2 linked regions of the Tamandua tetradactyla genome follow. The protein of the gene in region 1 interacts with the protein of each later gene in a biochemical or structural test. Links are inferred from orthologs where the notes say so. Each region holds a gene or a part of one and is shown in the gene's direction. Other genes may lie near its edges.

What was found. The genes of interacting proteins can lie anywhere in the genome.
Region 2: the proteins of VDR (region 1) and HR form a complex in vitro, tested with the Homo sapiens proteins (2 studies listed by BioGRID and IntAct). The link is inferred for Tamandua tetradactyla from reciprocal best matches to the Homo sapiens genes VDR and HR.

What each region holds. Positions count from the first base shown.
Region 1 is NC_135333.1:107,855,907-107,863,487, reverse strand, and holds the start of VDR (vitamin D3 receptor), read left to right. Parts: upstream 1-4,562; 5' UTR 4,563-4,655; intron 4,656-7,581.
Region 2 is NC_135329.1:22,758,513-22,765,422, reverse strand, and holds the start of HR (lysine-specific demethylase hairless), read left to right. Parts: upstream 1-3,889; 5' UTR 3,890-4,102; coding exon 4,103-4,762; intron 4,763-5,486; coding exon 5,487-6,276; intron 6,277-6,910. Other genes in the region: protein HRURF, read left to right, coding at 2,603-2,707. UniProt on the Homo sapiens protein: Histone demethylase that specifically demethylates both mono- and dimethylated 'Lys-9' of histone H3. May act as a transcription regulator controlling hair biology (via targeting of collagens), neural activity, and cell cycle.

The sequences.
Region 1 (7,581 bases):
GGGAGCCATGTGGGAGCCACTGCAAGGTTCTGAGGGAGCTCTCTTTAAGCCCTGTGGTTCTCTCAAAGCCTTTCTTAGAATCTCATGTTCCAGGTACTAAATGAAGGGATCCCACGGAGCTTGCTCACATTATTCAGGAAGATGAGATTCAATCAAAACCAGGGCAGTTAACAGTTGGGGAAAAAAAAAACAACCACAACACAAAAACCTGGGCAGTGCCCTCGGTCCATTGGTCACACAAACAATCTAGTCAGCCTAGCTTATAACCCAGGGCAGAATTTTTCAAGCTAAAGCTCACAACCCATTAATGGTGGATCCCATAAAAAAAGAAAGAAATGGTTGAATCCATCCATTTGGTGGATCTCATAAGAAAGAGAAAAAGAGAGGGAGGGAGGGAGGAAGGAAGGAAGAAATGGTAGAGAAAATAGTAGAAAATATTGAAAGCATTGTAGGATATCTGTATTTCATAAGGCTTTTATCTAATTTATATATGTGCATGGGTTTACTAGGTCATGATAAAAACTTATTTCCTACTTTGTGTTGCAGTTAAAACTTTGAAAATCACTGTCCTGAGAAGACCCTTTTTGTTTGGTTTGCTTTCATTGCTAATAGCTTCTTCCATTTATTTATTCCATTTTCACCGTCTAGAACACAAACAGGATCCAGTCCTGGATCTTTTTTGTCCTGATATCGATTAGAAAAGATAAATGAGCTAGCCTTTCTGGACTTAATTTTTTCAACTCTAAAGCAAGAGAACTGATTGAAATGGATGGGCTGGACCCTTCTGTTTCTATGACTTCATGATTCCATGTTTCTCAGAATGTTCTCTAGATACTTACCGGGTAAGAGGCTTCCCTTTATTCCTATCATACCTGTACCATAAAATATTTAAGGGGGAAAGGGCTTTAAAAAAAGGAAAAACAGGTGGGAGTGCTCCAGAGAGAACTCAAAGGACATACTTTTACCTGGAGAGAATCCTCTGGATCGCTTATCCTTCTGTCCTTAGAGACAAGGTCTCTGGGAACCTCTGTAGGGACAAGGTCACCACTTCAGCTCTGGCACCATGGCAGGAGGTCCAGAGAGTGCCAGCCAGACTAGGGGACAGTGGCCAGCCTTAAGGAAAGGGGAGTCCATCAGTTGAGGATAGGATGAAGCTCTGTGGCCTGACTACAGGCCTGCTCAGGCCACCTATAGGCACATAAAAACTGGCCTCAGATCCTGTGGAATGGCATGCACATGGGGTGGCCTCAGCTTGGCATTTCTGGAATCATTCCTCCCAGCTAGGAATCTCCTGGTTGGGCTCCTTTGTTTCTACACAGACTGTTGAGTTTATAACACTATAGTGTGGTGTCTTTCCCATAGCACTTAATATATATTAATTTATCAGAGATGAGTACTGACAAAAACACAATCTGAGAATCCCATAAAGACAACCATCCTCCCTTCCAGAGACAAGCAAGAGTTCTAGAAATATTAACTTCAAGGACAAGAAAGAGATAATTAGTGTTTTCTGCAGAGGTTCTGATGCATACCTCATACAGCAATCAAGCTAAAGTTTAAAGATAATGATTCTGTAGTACAGGAATGCTGAGTGTCATCAAAGGCTTTGAGAGAACAGGGTGTAAAACAGCAGCCTCCCTTCCTAGAACTTGGCTAGGGAGAAGCAGGGTCAGGAGGCAATTAGTGATTACAACAGAACACCACAGAAGCGAATCTGATGTAATCTTGCTTTTCTATTTTTGCAAAATGACATTCCTAAGATGAAAACTGAGGTGAAAATCCATCTTTGTTCAATATGAATGCAAGATGGTTCATTGCCAGGTGACAAGCCATGCAAAACAGACAATACAAAGACCAGAGAATTGACAGGTCTTTTTGGCCTGGAGATGGCTGGAAAGGCCTAATGGTATAGACAAGACCTGAAGGAGGATAGAGTCTCGGGAGACAGATGACAGAGCAACTCAGATATTGGGTGAAGATAAGAAAAACATGATCAGGGATATGTTGATGGGGCTGATGATGGAATGTTCTAGATCTCTGATAACATCTATAATTTTGCAAAGCTGCCAAACTCAAAACCTCTGAGTTCCCAAAGGCTGAGTTTTCTAGACTGTGGTCCAAAAGATAGAAAGTCCACGTGTCTCTGTCACTCCCTAGCTGTAAGAACATCAACAACTCTGCACAACAGTTAATTGTACAAAGACGAGAGTATTTTCTACTCTGCTTAACAGAAAAGGTTGTACTGAAGATCAAATGAGATAATCCAAATAATTCTTTTGATACTGTCAAATTTTACATGTTAGGTATTCTTAGTAGACTACAACCAAGAACTGTGAAGAAAGAGTGTCTTAGTTTCCTTCGCTGCTCAAGCAAATACCATGCAACAGTTTAGCTTAAACAATGGGAATTTATAAGCTTATGGTTTTGAGGCTAGGTGAAGTCCAAATCAAGGCATCATCAAGGTGATGCTTCCTTCCTGAAGTATGGCATTCTGGGGCTGGCTGCCAGTGATCCTTGGTCTTTGGCTCCTCTGTCACATGATGGCAATCTCCTGGCCTCTCCCTTCTCTTCTGGGTTCCATTGACCTTCAGCTTCTTGTTTCCCAAGGCTTCCTCTCTGTCTAAATTTCATTCTGCTTATGAAGGACTCTAGTAATAGGGTTAAGACTCGTGCTGAGGTGGAGCACACCTTAACTGAAGCAACCTCATCAGAAGGTCTTACTTACAATAGATGCACACTTACAGAATGGATTAAGTTTAAGAACATGTTTTTCTGAGGTACATAGCTCCAAATCACCTCAGAGACTAATAGTCAGTTACTATTTTATACTAGTAACTCATGTCTTGCCATGTTTTGTTAAGTTTATTTTCTAGATGACATTCACCTCTGTCTCTGGCACCACAAAAGTGACTTCTGAGTGATTAACCCCTTCTAGAGGTTCACAGACTTCCTGAGAATGTCCCAAAGTGGTGATTATTAGAGATACCCTCTTTCCATGGGAGTCATTGCTAGAGTTTCCATGATGCTTTGAGTTGAGAACATTCTTTTCCTTTCATTACAACCAGAGAATTCCAGACCCATCAGATCAGCCGAGCCTCCAAAGGGCATTTCATCTCTTCTGTTTCTCAGCATGCATTGTCCATTCCCAAGTTCAGTGAAAGGATGGGTGTCGCTTCCATTTTTTTTAAGTTTCCATGACACCCCCTTAACGAACTGTTTCAGTGCATAGCAAACTTCAGTTTCAAGGTTCTTCCTTCTGTTTACCCTCAGTTCATTTATCTTGATCCAATTATTGAGATTTGGAGAGGGGTTGGTATCAAATAGTATGGCATAATTGGTTCAGAAATGGTTCAGAAGCCACTATGCCAGCAGACTTGCTCGACTCCAGTGCTAGCCCTGTATTGTACAGTTGTGTGACCTTGGGCAAATCACTTAACCTCTCTGTGCTTCAGTTTCCCACCTGTTTGGCTTGTCCCTCTGAGCCATGGCTTCTTCCTTTATAAAAGGTGAATAGCAATGCCTTCCCTGCCTAAAAGAGTTCACCAACTGCTAGATGATTTTGTGGGCATCTCTATTGCAGCACATTATGTAGTAATTATGTTGTAATTACTATTTATTTATGAATTTCCCCACTGGATAGTGAGCTCTAAAACAGAGGGAACCATGTCTTTTTCATCTCCTCCACTGTCCAGCACAGTGCTACCTAATCCATAGTTAGGGAAGCAGCATAGAGTAAACAGTGAGGCCCCAAATTGTTCTTTTTCTTTTCTTTTTTAGCCCAAATCTATGTCAGCTTTTTCATAGTCATCCCCGATTCCAGGTCTTAGTATGTATTTTTCACTTCCTCCCTCCCTTTTACACCAATGTCATGCCGGGGAAGGGGGAACTGGGGATCAGGGCCCCAGAAGCTGACACTAAACCAGCTAGGACGAGATTCGCGAAGAACCTGTAACCTAGCCATTTGTGGTCTCTGCCTAGGGGACATAGAGTAAGAGCGATGATGCAAATCTAGGCTCCACTCCGGCCCCGTTTATTTATTTATTTATTTTAATCATAGCGCGTGGGTTCGGGCTCAGCTCCCTGGCACTCGGCAAAAGTAATACGACGGCGAATGGCGCCCCGAATTTTCCACGAGAGCGGAGAGAGCCGTTGGTGCCCGTCGGCAGGCGCCCCCCAGCGCCCGACGGACGACGGAAAAGTCCTGGCGGTGTCAGCCCAGGTGAGGGTGACGCACCTGAAGAGGCGTCGGTGGAAGGCTGGGCAGAACCACGGCACCTGGGGTGGGGAGTAAAACATCACAGAATTTCGAAGGCAGGAGCGTAGATCTGCACACTTACAGTCATCGAAAACTCCCATGTACAAGAGGTGAAAGCATGCCTTGCTTTAGGGACAGCAGTCGTGAAAGGCTACTTGGGGCAGAGTCTCCAAGGTGACAGTGCAGTGGTTGATTCCAAGTCAAGATGGTTGCAGCGCGAATGGAGTGCCTGGCAAGAGAGGACTGGACGTGTGGGCGGGGCCAAGGCATAGGGCGGACCTAAGGGCGGGGCCTGTGAGAGGGGCGGGGACAGGTGCTGGGTTGTCTCTGCTTGTCAAAAGGCAGCAGCCGATCCCCAGGCGCTGGGAGCGCGGACCAGCGTGTCTACCCGCGGAACCAGGTGCGGACCCCGGAGCAGCCGGGAAGGGGGTCCCAGCATAGAGATCAGGCTTGGGGTGCGGGGCGGTTGGTACCGGGGCTGAATAGCCGGGTGCAAGCACTAGAGTCTAAGTCACAGGGGCAAACTTGGAGACCGAGAGCCGGGCTGCCATGAGGTTGGGGCACTGAGGAGGCACTGGGCTCTCAGAGAGACCACCTGGGTGCTCGGTTAGCTTAATGCAGAAAAGCTCCGCTAGCACAGTGTTCAGCACTTGGGCAACAAGAAACATTTGTTTCCTTCCTCTGTCCGGGTGCCTTGGCACAGAGTGAAGGAGTAAGAAGGGGAACGATTGGCTGTGGATGGCGCTAAATCTTTTGGGGGTGGAGTGTGTAGCCTTATTTATTATCTTGTGGGGCCCACGTGTGGTCACCTGTGCTGGTGAAGTTGGGTCTTTTAAGTAAGGTGTGTTTCCTGCCTTTTTTTTTTTTTTTTAACTCCAATGCTTTTAGACCTATTTAGCCTTTGAGTACTGCATTAATTTCCTCAAGAGACCCTGACCATGGGTGAGGCATAGGCACTCAGGGGCAAGCGTCTAGGTGAGGAGGGGGCTCAGAGAGTAGTTTCTGTCTGAAGGAGGTGAGGGGCCAGGCGTCTGTGGGGGGCGGGTGAAGAGGCTTCAGGGAAGTATATGCCAGGAAGCAGTGTGTAGTCTCCAGTGGGCAGTGGACAGCAGCCCCGGTCCCCCTTTTTGCCCCCCATGGACTGCTGAAGCTGAGACCCAGGCTGCCTGGGCTGGGGATCCCAGGGTCACTGCTCCCAGGCCCTTCCCGCACAACCTCCTCCTCTTTCTCCTCCTCTTCTTCCTCCTCCTCCGTGCGGTGAGTGAGTCAGCCTCCTGTCTGGGCTCAGTTGCAGCCAGAGGGGCCAGAGCCCAGGCAAGCAGTTGGGCAGGCATTTTCTGAGCATTGCAGAAGCTCTCCTGGGCAGAGTTCAGCTCTGCTCCAGCTCCCTGCTGGAAGGCTGTCTCCTTGTGGCTAGTGGTGGCTGCTTCCGCAGGGGGCAGGCGTTCAGACACCCAACACAGCAATAGTTATGGGATGTTCTGATTCCAGAAGGAGTTGATTGAGAAGGGATTGTGGTTTTGTGGTAAATCCATGTCTCTTATCCTTCTCCTAGTATCGTGAGGTCTACCTCAGTCTTCTGCAAACTTTTCCATCCTCCTCATACCATTTCTGTCTAGTGATCTCATTAGTTGCCCTTGTCTGCTGGTGAAGTGGGGGTGCAGAGGAAATTGGAAGATTCCGGGACCAGGGAAGGCATTGTGTTGTCAAAGAAGTCTTTAACCCAAACTAGGGAGTTGGGATGGTTTGACGAGGTGGAGATGGGTTATCTGGACTCTGGAGCCTCAACTCTGTGGACCAAGAGTGTTGAGTGACAGAGAAACTTCCCTCATCCCCCTGCACCCCATCCAAGTGCTAGAAGAGATTGTGGATCTTTTTGGAATAGTGTTGAAACTGGCATGTGGCCAGACTGGGAAGTAGTAAGAATGTAAACTTCTTTCTGGCTTTTGTTTTGGATGCTGTTAAGATCCTTGAGCAGAAATAGAAGGCCCAGTGTCCTTTGATTCTACTCAAGAGCCTCTCTGGACCCAAGTCAGAAGAATCCATGGCAGCCAACTAGGCTGTGGAGCTGACTCAAACTGCAAACAGCTGGGGAATTCACAGTCTGTGCTCCGGCTGGGTCCACAGCTTAGGGTTTGGCTGGTCCCTGATCAGCCATGACTTGGATCCTGACCAAGCTAAAGGAGAGACTGAAGAGTAGGGTCAGAAGGAGGAAAGGAAGATCCTCACTCCTCTTCAGCCAAGCCTATCACTTGGTCCCAATATTGTGGAAGGTCCAGGTTATGTTGTGGTGCTCAGGTAATTTGTGTTTATGGTTTCTCTGTCTTCTTCCCCTATATGACCTCAGAACTGATCTCCTTTTGGGACTAAGCCCCAGAGGAAGCTCTAAGAGGACCTCTTTAATTCTTTCTCTACCCCTCCTCCCAATAACAAACAGCCAGTGTCCAAAGCCAAAGTCCTAAGCCAGTGTCTTTCATGTGGAGGGATTGACTTGAACCTAGTGTTATCCCAGTCAGGAGGAGGAGTGGAGTTCCTGTTGTTTGCTTCCTTACGCAGGTAGGGATCAGCCTTGCAGAGATCTGCCACTGAAATCTCTGCTAGAAATCTGCTGCTGTATAATACTCAACAGTGGCGATCTAGAGATAGAAGTGCTGAAGTCAGGAGGACCTGGAAGTCTGAGCTAGTATGACATTCCAATTTGTTCTCCTCACTAATGAACAAGGAGAGTTATAGGGCTCCAACTTTCCATTTGTCACTGTTGCTATTCTCTTTCGGATGCAAGTAGAAGGAAGTAAGGAAATGACTATATTTGCTTAAGTGCTTTCTGAGTACCCAGCATGGTGCTTGGCCCTCAGATGGATGGCAGGAAGCAGAACCCACTGCTTTTGCCCCCAAGAGATCTTAGCTCCAGGATGGGCAGCAGCCCTCCCACCACTTCTGTCTGGTTCTGAGAGGCTCCACCTGGGGTGAAGCCAGCCTGGGTGTTGCTCTCGACCACAAAGACTGTGCTTCTAGTTATGTTCCTCCCTGATTTTCCCCTAACCTCTCCAATCTCAGTGCCCTCCGGGGTGGAATAGAGAGTGACTATATAATTTATCATCCAAACTGGGACACATTTTAGAATGAAAAGGTGTGCTATTAACAGTTATACCAGGACAATAGGCATAAACTGAAAGTGTCCAGGGCAAACTAGAATTTTGAACCCCAGTGACAGAGGTCCCTAGTGAACACCTCTGCAGAGGCTACAGGGGTGAGGGGAAGATAGGGGTACTTAATTCAGAGGGCAGCCCCTATACCTCAGCCTACTCCCTGGTGTTATCAGCCAA
Region 2 (6,910 bases), on another chromosome or scaffold:
AGCGGCACCGTGCTTGCCCAGGTAAGGGGCTCTGGGGACTGTGTGAGGGCAGCCGGCTGGTGAGTGCTGCTGGGCTTGTCAGCATGAGTGTGGCTATCAGCGCGAGTGTCAGCGCGTGAGGGGTCGGGGTGGGGCTGGGGCTGGGCCCACGGGGGTCTCGGGGTGCTGGTCAGCTTGCCTCGATCCACAAATCTAGAATCATGCCCATGCGTCGTATGGCTTTCCTTCTGTGTTTGTGTCTTTTATGTGTCTCCTCAGCTCTGCTCTGTCCTCAGGCGCAGGAGAGCCAGCTACAAGGACTCTAGGGCCTGTGGCACTGGTTGAGGGGGCAGGACGGGGAGCTGAGGGAGGGCGGAAAGGGGCTTCGTGCCTTCCAGTTCCACGAACCCGGGGGCATTTCCAGAGCCTGTCCTGAGAGCCCTGGGATGGTGACCTGACGAAATGGACATGGCAGCTAGATGGGGGCTGGGAGGTGTCAGTCCTGCTCCCCCGGGACTGTCCCTATCCCCTTTGGGGACGGCCGCAACAGGCCCTCAAGGCCCCTGGGGCAGCCTAGGCTCCCACCCTGGCCTGCCCTTCAGCCTCTTCCAGCCCCAAGCCACAGAAATTGCCCCCAGGACTCTCTCGCAAGCTGCTGACTGCTGAGGGAAGCCAGAGGACAAGATGGGGGGACACAGGCACACCCCAGACAAGCAACTTCATCACTGAACCCAGCCTGGGAGCAGGGGGCTGGCGGCCGGGGCCTTGGGATCCTAGTCTTTGTTAGACCCTCCACAACCGTGTCCCCTGGCCCACTCAGGTCCAGGCTGCCCCTCAGGGGAGCTGGGAAGGAAGGGAGGGTTGATAACCCAGTCCTGTAAACATCTCACCAGCCGGTCCTCCCACCGGACTGGCCTCTGGGGGCAGGAGAAGGGGCTGGAGACCGGGCTGGTGAGTCTAAGCCCACTGGACCCGAAGCCTGCCCAGTGACAGCCTGTTCAGACCCCCCCTCTCCCTGAGACCCCTCCTCTCCTCAACCAGAGAAAGGCGCCCTGCCTTCCCCAACCCCCCCCACCGCCCCGGTCTCCTGGGAAGAAGGCTCCCCAACTCTTCAGCGCTGTCCCTCTCTGTTGTGGGGGTGTGAATGGACCAAGCTGGAGGCATCCGAGAACGCATCCCTGTCCTTCAAATGGCCAGCTTGGGGGTGGGCTGGGGGGGCTCCTCTTTCTGTCCCAGGCAGGCTGAGGGCAGGCACCGAGGATGGCATGCACAGAGAAGCAGGGGAGTCCAGGGGTGGGAGGTGGGTGCCTGAGGGAAAGGGAAGCGCCCGTTGGGCGTGTGGGTTTCTGTGTGTGTCTGAATCTGTCTGTGTGTGTTTGAATCTGCCTGTTTGTGTCTGTGCTCTGGAACCGCCCCCGCAGAGGAGCCGTGATGCTTCCTCGGGTGGAGGGTGCCGTGCTTTCCCATTTCCTCTCCTACTCTCTGCTCCCTCCCAGGAGCCACTCCCATGGGCTGTTCTCCAGCACAGGGCCTGGAAGCACTGGGAACACTGGGGATGGGACAGACCCCCGCAGCATCAAGCTGGAGCCAGTGGCCAAGCTCTTCTAGTCCCACCGCCTCTCTGTCATTTGGTGAAACCAAGGCCCTTAGACTGGGACGAACTAGAATCCAGGTCTCCCCGGAATTGCTAATGCAGGACACTCTCTACCCTGGGCCCTGGGAAGGTGCCTGGGTGGGGGACAGGGAAGAACAGCTTGGCCAGGGCAGACACAGGCCAGCACGGTGTGCCCATGTGCCAGAGCTGGAGAGGACAAGGAGTGAGTGGTCCAGCAGGCACGAGGCCGGGCTGGCATGGGGCAGAAGCGCCCATCACTGACCCGTGAGAACCCCGCTGCCCCTGCCAGCTCTGGCACTGCCCCCTACCAGCCGGCCGCGCCCTGGCACCCCGGGGGGCACCCCGCCCCACCGTGGCCTGGTCCGGCCCCTCCCGCCCTTTGCTCCAGTTCCCGGGCTTGGCACCTATGGTGGGGGTGCTGCCCGCCTGCCAGGCTCCGGGGCCGGGCCCACGGGAGGGTGGGGCGGCTGGGAAGCTGGCACGCTGCCCTGGGGGAGCCTCTTTCGGCAGGCGCCCGGGTGCCGCGGGGGGGAGGGGGGAACAAAGGCCTCATTCTCCCCGTGCGCAGCCGGTGGCATCGCCGGGGCGTTGGCGGAAGCCCCCGGGGCCTGGGAGGGGGCAGGCCCAGGCGGGGCCGCCGAATCACGGGCTCCTGTTTCCCGCAGGGTGCTGGAGGAGGAAACCGGCGGAGCAGCTTCCCCACTCCTCAGTTGTGCGTCTGGCGATGGCGATCGGAGGTCCTGCTGCGCTCTCCGCCGCGCTCTCCCTCTATTAGCCGCGCCGCGCCGCGCTGCGCCCTCGCTGGTGCCTCTTTCTTGGGTCCGGGGATCGGGCCCCCTTCCAGGCACGACCCCCTCCCCCGGCCCCTCGGCCTTTCCCCCGACTCTGCCATCTCCGACCCGGGGCGCGCGTTCCCCCCGGCCCGGCTCCCTCTCTCCCTCCGGGGACACCCGCTCCCTAGCCCCGGCCCGGCCCTCCCAGCGGCGCAGCACGGAGTCTCGGCGTCCCATGGCGCAACCCACGGCCTCGGCCCAGAAGCTGGTGCGGCCGATCCGCGCCGTGTGCCGCATCCTGCAGATCCCGGAGTCCGACCCCTCCAACCTGCGGCCCTAGAGCGCCCCCGCCGCCCGGGGGGAAAAAGAGCCAGAGCGCGCTGACCAGAGAGAGCGGGAGAACGTGGGTTCGCCCGCCGGCCGGGAGGCCCCGGAGCCCGCCCATGGGGAGCGAGCGCCCGGCACCCGCCAGGACGACCGCCGCCACCCGCGCTGCGCCCGGCCTGTGAAGCCCAGGTAAGCGCCGAGAAGCCGCGCCAAGGGCGCGCCTTGTGCGGAGACTGACAGAGGGATCTCTGAGAGGCTAAGCTCCTGCCGCCGCACACTGGGAGTGGGTTCCCCGTGCCCCTCTGGACTGGACCACACCTCGGAAAGTTAGGGTGCCCGCCGGGGCTGGACTGTTCCGGAGCGGTGGCCCCAGAAAACTGCGCTTCTGCCACGGCTCCCTTGCCTATCTCCTCCGGATTTGCAAGGCCAGCTAAGGTGCCGGGCGCTGAGAGCGCCGCGGCTCCAAGAGCTACCTGTCATCCTGGTCCCTTGCACACGTTCAATTTTCCCTCTCTCTGGGGCCCGGCCCGCTTTCCCCGCCTCCTTCCCTCCCCCCGGGCCAGGCTGCAGCTACTAGTGGCGGCGGCGGCCCTGGCACTGCACGGCTGGGGCCTCCTGACCCATCCCAGCAGAGGCCTCTCAATACCCCTCTCCTGGGCTGGCTCCCTCCTTCCCTTGGTTGGGGGTGTGCAGATTCCAGCCCCCATCAGTTGCCCTGGGTCATGGAGCCAAGAAAACTGCAGAGCACACCAGGAAGGGACAGATTCGGGCTATCCAGGTGTAGATAGAGATAGCAGCGGACAACCCTGGCTGGCAGCCCTCCCCAGTAACTCCAGCCTGCACCTCTCACCCCGACAAAACTGGGTGGGGCTGGAGTGTGGGGGTGGGCAAGGGGCACCCCCAGAACCACAGAATGCAGTATGGGAAGAACCCTCTTTCTGTCAATTCCCAAGCCCTGTTTCACGCAAGGGAACACTGAGGTCCAGAGGAGTGACATGACTTACTCAATGTCACACAGCCCTCTTGTCTCCAAGTGCAGTGCTCTTACCCTGAGCTCACCTTTGATTTCTTTCTCTTTCCTTCCCCGTGGCTTGAGATTAGGTTACTGGCTCAGTAAGGCCAGGACATATCATCCTAGAAATGGCAGCCTCTGCTGAAGGGAGCTGGCCCTGGTGGGCTGTCATATCCAAAGAATTGGGTGGGGGGCAGAATAACCTCCTTACACTGGAGCATCCCACCAGACTGGATCCTTTGGGTCGCATATGGATGGGCACTGTGGTGCCCACCTTCGGACTGGCAGTTGCCTTACTGGTTTGAGCTGCCTTGGAGCTGCCTGGGTGGTGCCCACTCTGTGCAGGGCTGTAGGGTGTCTGGGGCACGTGCTCAAGGAGCTCAGGCATTGGTGGTTATGCTCCAGGGACCCCCTGTGGGAGAACCCCATGAGGGCAGGAGAGTGATGGAGAGCACGCCTAGCTTCCTGAAGGACACCCCAGCCTGGGAGAAGACAGCCCCTGAAAATGGCATCGTGGGAAAGGAGCCAAGCACCCCACCACAGGAAGGCCTGCGCCACGGGGCACTGTGCCTGGGAGAGTCTCCACCCTTCTGGAGGGGCATCCTGAGCGCTCCAGATTCCTGGCTTACTCCTAGTTTCCCCCAAGGCCCCAAGGACACGCTCCCACTGGTAGAGGGCGAGGGCCTCCGGAATGGGGAGAGGAAGGCCAGCCGGCTGGGCAGCAAGGAGGGGCTGCGCTGGAAGGAGGCAATGCTTGCCCATCCGCTGACATTCTGCAGGCCAGCGTGCCCACCTCACTACGGCCCCTTGATTCCTGAGCACAGTGGTGGCCATCCCAAGAGTGAACCTGTGGCCTTCCAGCCCTTGCACTGCCCCTTCCTTCTGGAGACCAAGATCCTGGAGCGAGCTCCCTTCTGGATGCCCACCTGTGTGCCACCCTACCTAATGACCGGCCTGCCCCCGGAGCGTCCATGTGACTGGCCCCTGGCCCCTCACCCCTGGATGTATGCAGGGGGCCAGCCCAAAGGGCCCTCTTCCTTCAGCTTAGGCAGCAAGGTGAGTGCTGGAGCCTAGTGAGTACCCAGGACTCAAGGCCATACATGGTAGCTCAGTGGCTCTCAAGCAGCCCTGCCAGGACAGCATCATTCAGTGCGTCCATTCTGATAAAAAGTTAAGGCAGTGCCCAGGTAGGACAAATGGCATGCGTTTGCTCAGTGCTGTCTGAGGCCCCAAAGTCAACCCCAAGCATTTTTCTCCTGAGCAGCTCCATCTTACTAGGACTCTCTGCCCTCAGGCCATTTCAGGGATTGACTCACCATTATCCGCTCAGGACAAGGATTTGGGGATTGGAGCCACAGAATATGTGGCCTCGTCTTGGAGCAGGGACGTGCAGGCAGCCTCATGGTCTGGGTGTAGGGAATCTCCCCCACAGACAGTTCCCACCCCTAGGGAGGAGATTTAAAGATAATTTAAAACCCAATATGGTACTGGACATCAAGCAATCAGAATAGACCCTGGAAGCCCTTTGGCTGTGTCAGGCTTTAACTCTTTAGTAGCTGGATTGTAGGAGATGTGAGAAGTCCTGGAGGAGGATCTGGGAGTAGTCAGGGCAGTGGGCAGGCACTCAGGGGACCCAGACAATGCCATTTTCAACCAGCATGTGAGTCCTTCACTATTTCCACAACCCGTGAGGTCACAGAGGGACATACCTGCTGGAAGTCTTTTTCAGCAGTGGGAACCAAAGCTGCTGCTAACTTAAAACCCTTCCTCCTCCCTTTAGGGTTTTTACCACAAGGATCCAAGCCTTCTTGGGCTGGCAAAGGAGCCACTGGCAACTGCAGAGCCTGGGTTGTTGGGCTTAGTCCCTGGTGGGCATCTCCAGAGAGCCGCGGAGGTGGAATCCTCTTCGCTCCAGCAGAGGGATGGAGAGACAGGAGCTAGCAGGCACCAGAATCTTTGCCCTCGTTTCCTGGGGCATCCAGACAGTGTTGCCCGGACTCCCTGGTCTGCTTGTCCCCCGGGCCTGGTTCATACTCTTGGCAACATCTGGGCTGTCCCAGGAAGTGGGAGCCTTGGGTACCAGCTGGGATCACCAGCCTCATCAAGGTGCCCCTCTCCTGGCCTGCCTACCGCCCAGGTGGGTTGTTGCTCATCCCACCCATCTGCTAGAGATGGGGGCGTTGGCCCTTGTGGGAGGTGCCAGGAGGGCCTGGAGGGGGGCTCCGGCGGGGCAGTTGATTCCAGTGAGGAAGTGAACAAGCCACCTGGCCACAGGGCCTGCCCTCCAAGCCACCATACCAAGCTGAAGAAGACATGGCTCACACGACACTCTGAGCAGTTCGGGTGCCCAGATGACTGCCCTGGGGATGAAGAGAGCCCAGCTGTCCAGCCACGGGCCCTCAAGAGGGCAAGCAGCCCTGAGGTCCAAGGAACAGTGGGTAGCCCAGCTCCCAAGCGGCCACCAGACCCTTTCCCAGGCAATGTGGGGCAGGGGGCCAGAGGGTGTCAGCAGGTGCTGGACTCATCAAGAAGGAACAAGGCAGAGGCAGAACAGCATGATGACCAGAGAGGTAAGGGGATGGGTGGGGGGTTCCAGGGGGCTCTACTTGGGAGGGAATAGCCAGGGTTGGGGCTTTTCAGGGGGGCAAGGGCCACTAGTCCTTGATGAGTGGGTCACACCCAGCTGTCAGGTTTCCCACCTGGATGGTGAAGGCTCTCTGAGAGCCCCTCAGCAAGTGGCTTCTCTATCCATTTGTGTAATGCCATGGTTAAGAGCACAGGCTCTGGAGTCAGATTGCCTGGTTCCTGTCTTTGCTGATTGGTAGCTGGGTGACCTTAGGCAAGTTATGTCACCTCTCTGGGCCTCAGTTTGTTCATCTGTGATATGGCGATAAAGATGACACCTGCCTCAAAAACTGCTGCAAAGATTAAATTTAATAAAGGGGTTTGAAGAATTCCTGGCATTCACCACTTGATAAATGTTAGCCATTATGATTGTGCCATAATTCCCTGTTTGGGTAATTCCCTCCCCTGTTCTCCTAAAGAACCCCTTGTCCTCCCTCAGGAATGCCTCAGTTTGGACTCTCCCAGTGTTAGGGCTTTGGGCGCGTCTTGGTCCCCTCTGCCAGGCTATGCCCTTCATGGAGGGCTCTGGCACTGCCAGCCCTAGCCTCAGCTTTCTGGGAGCCCTTGGTTTCTCAGCCT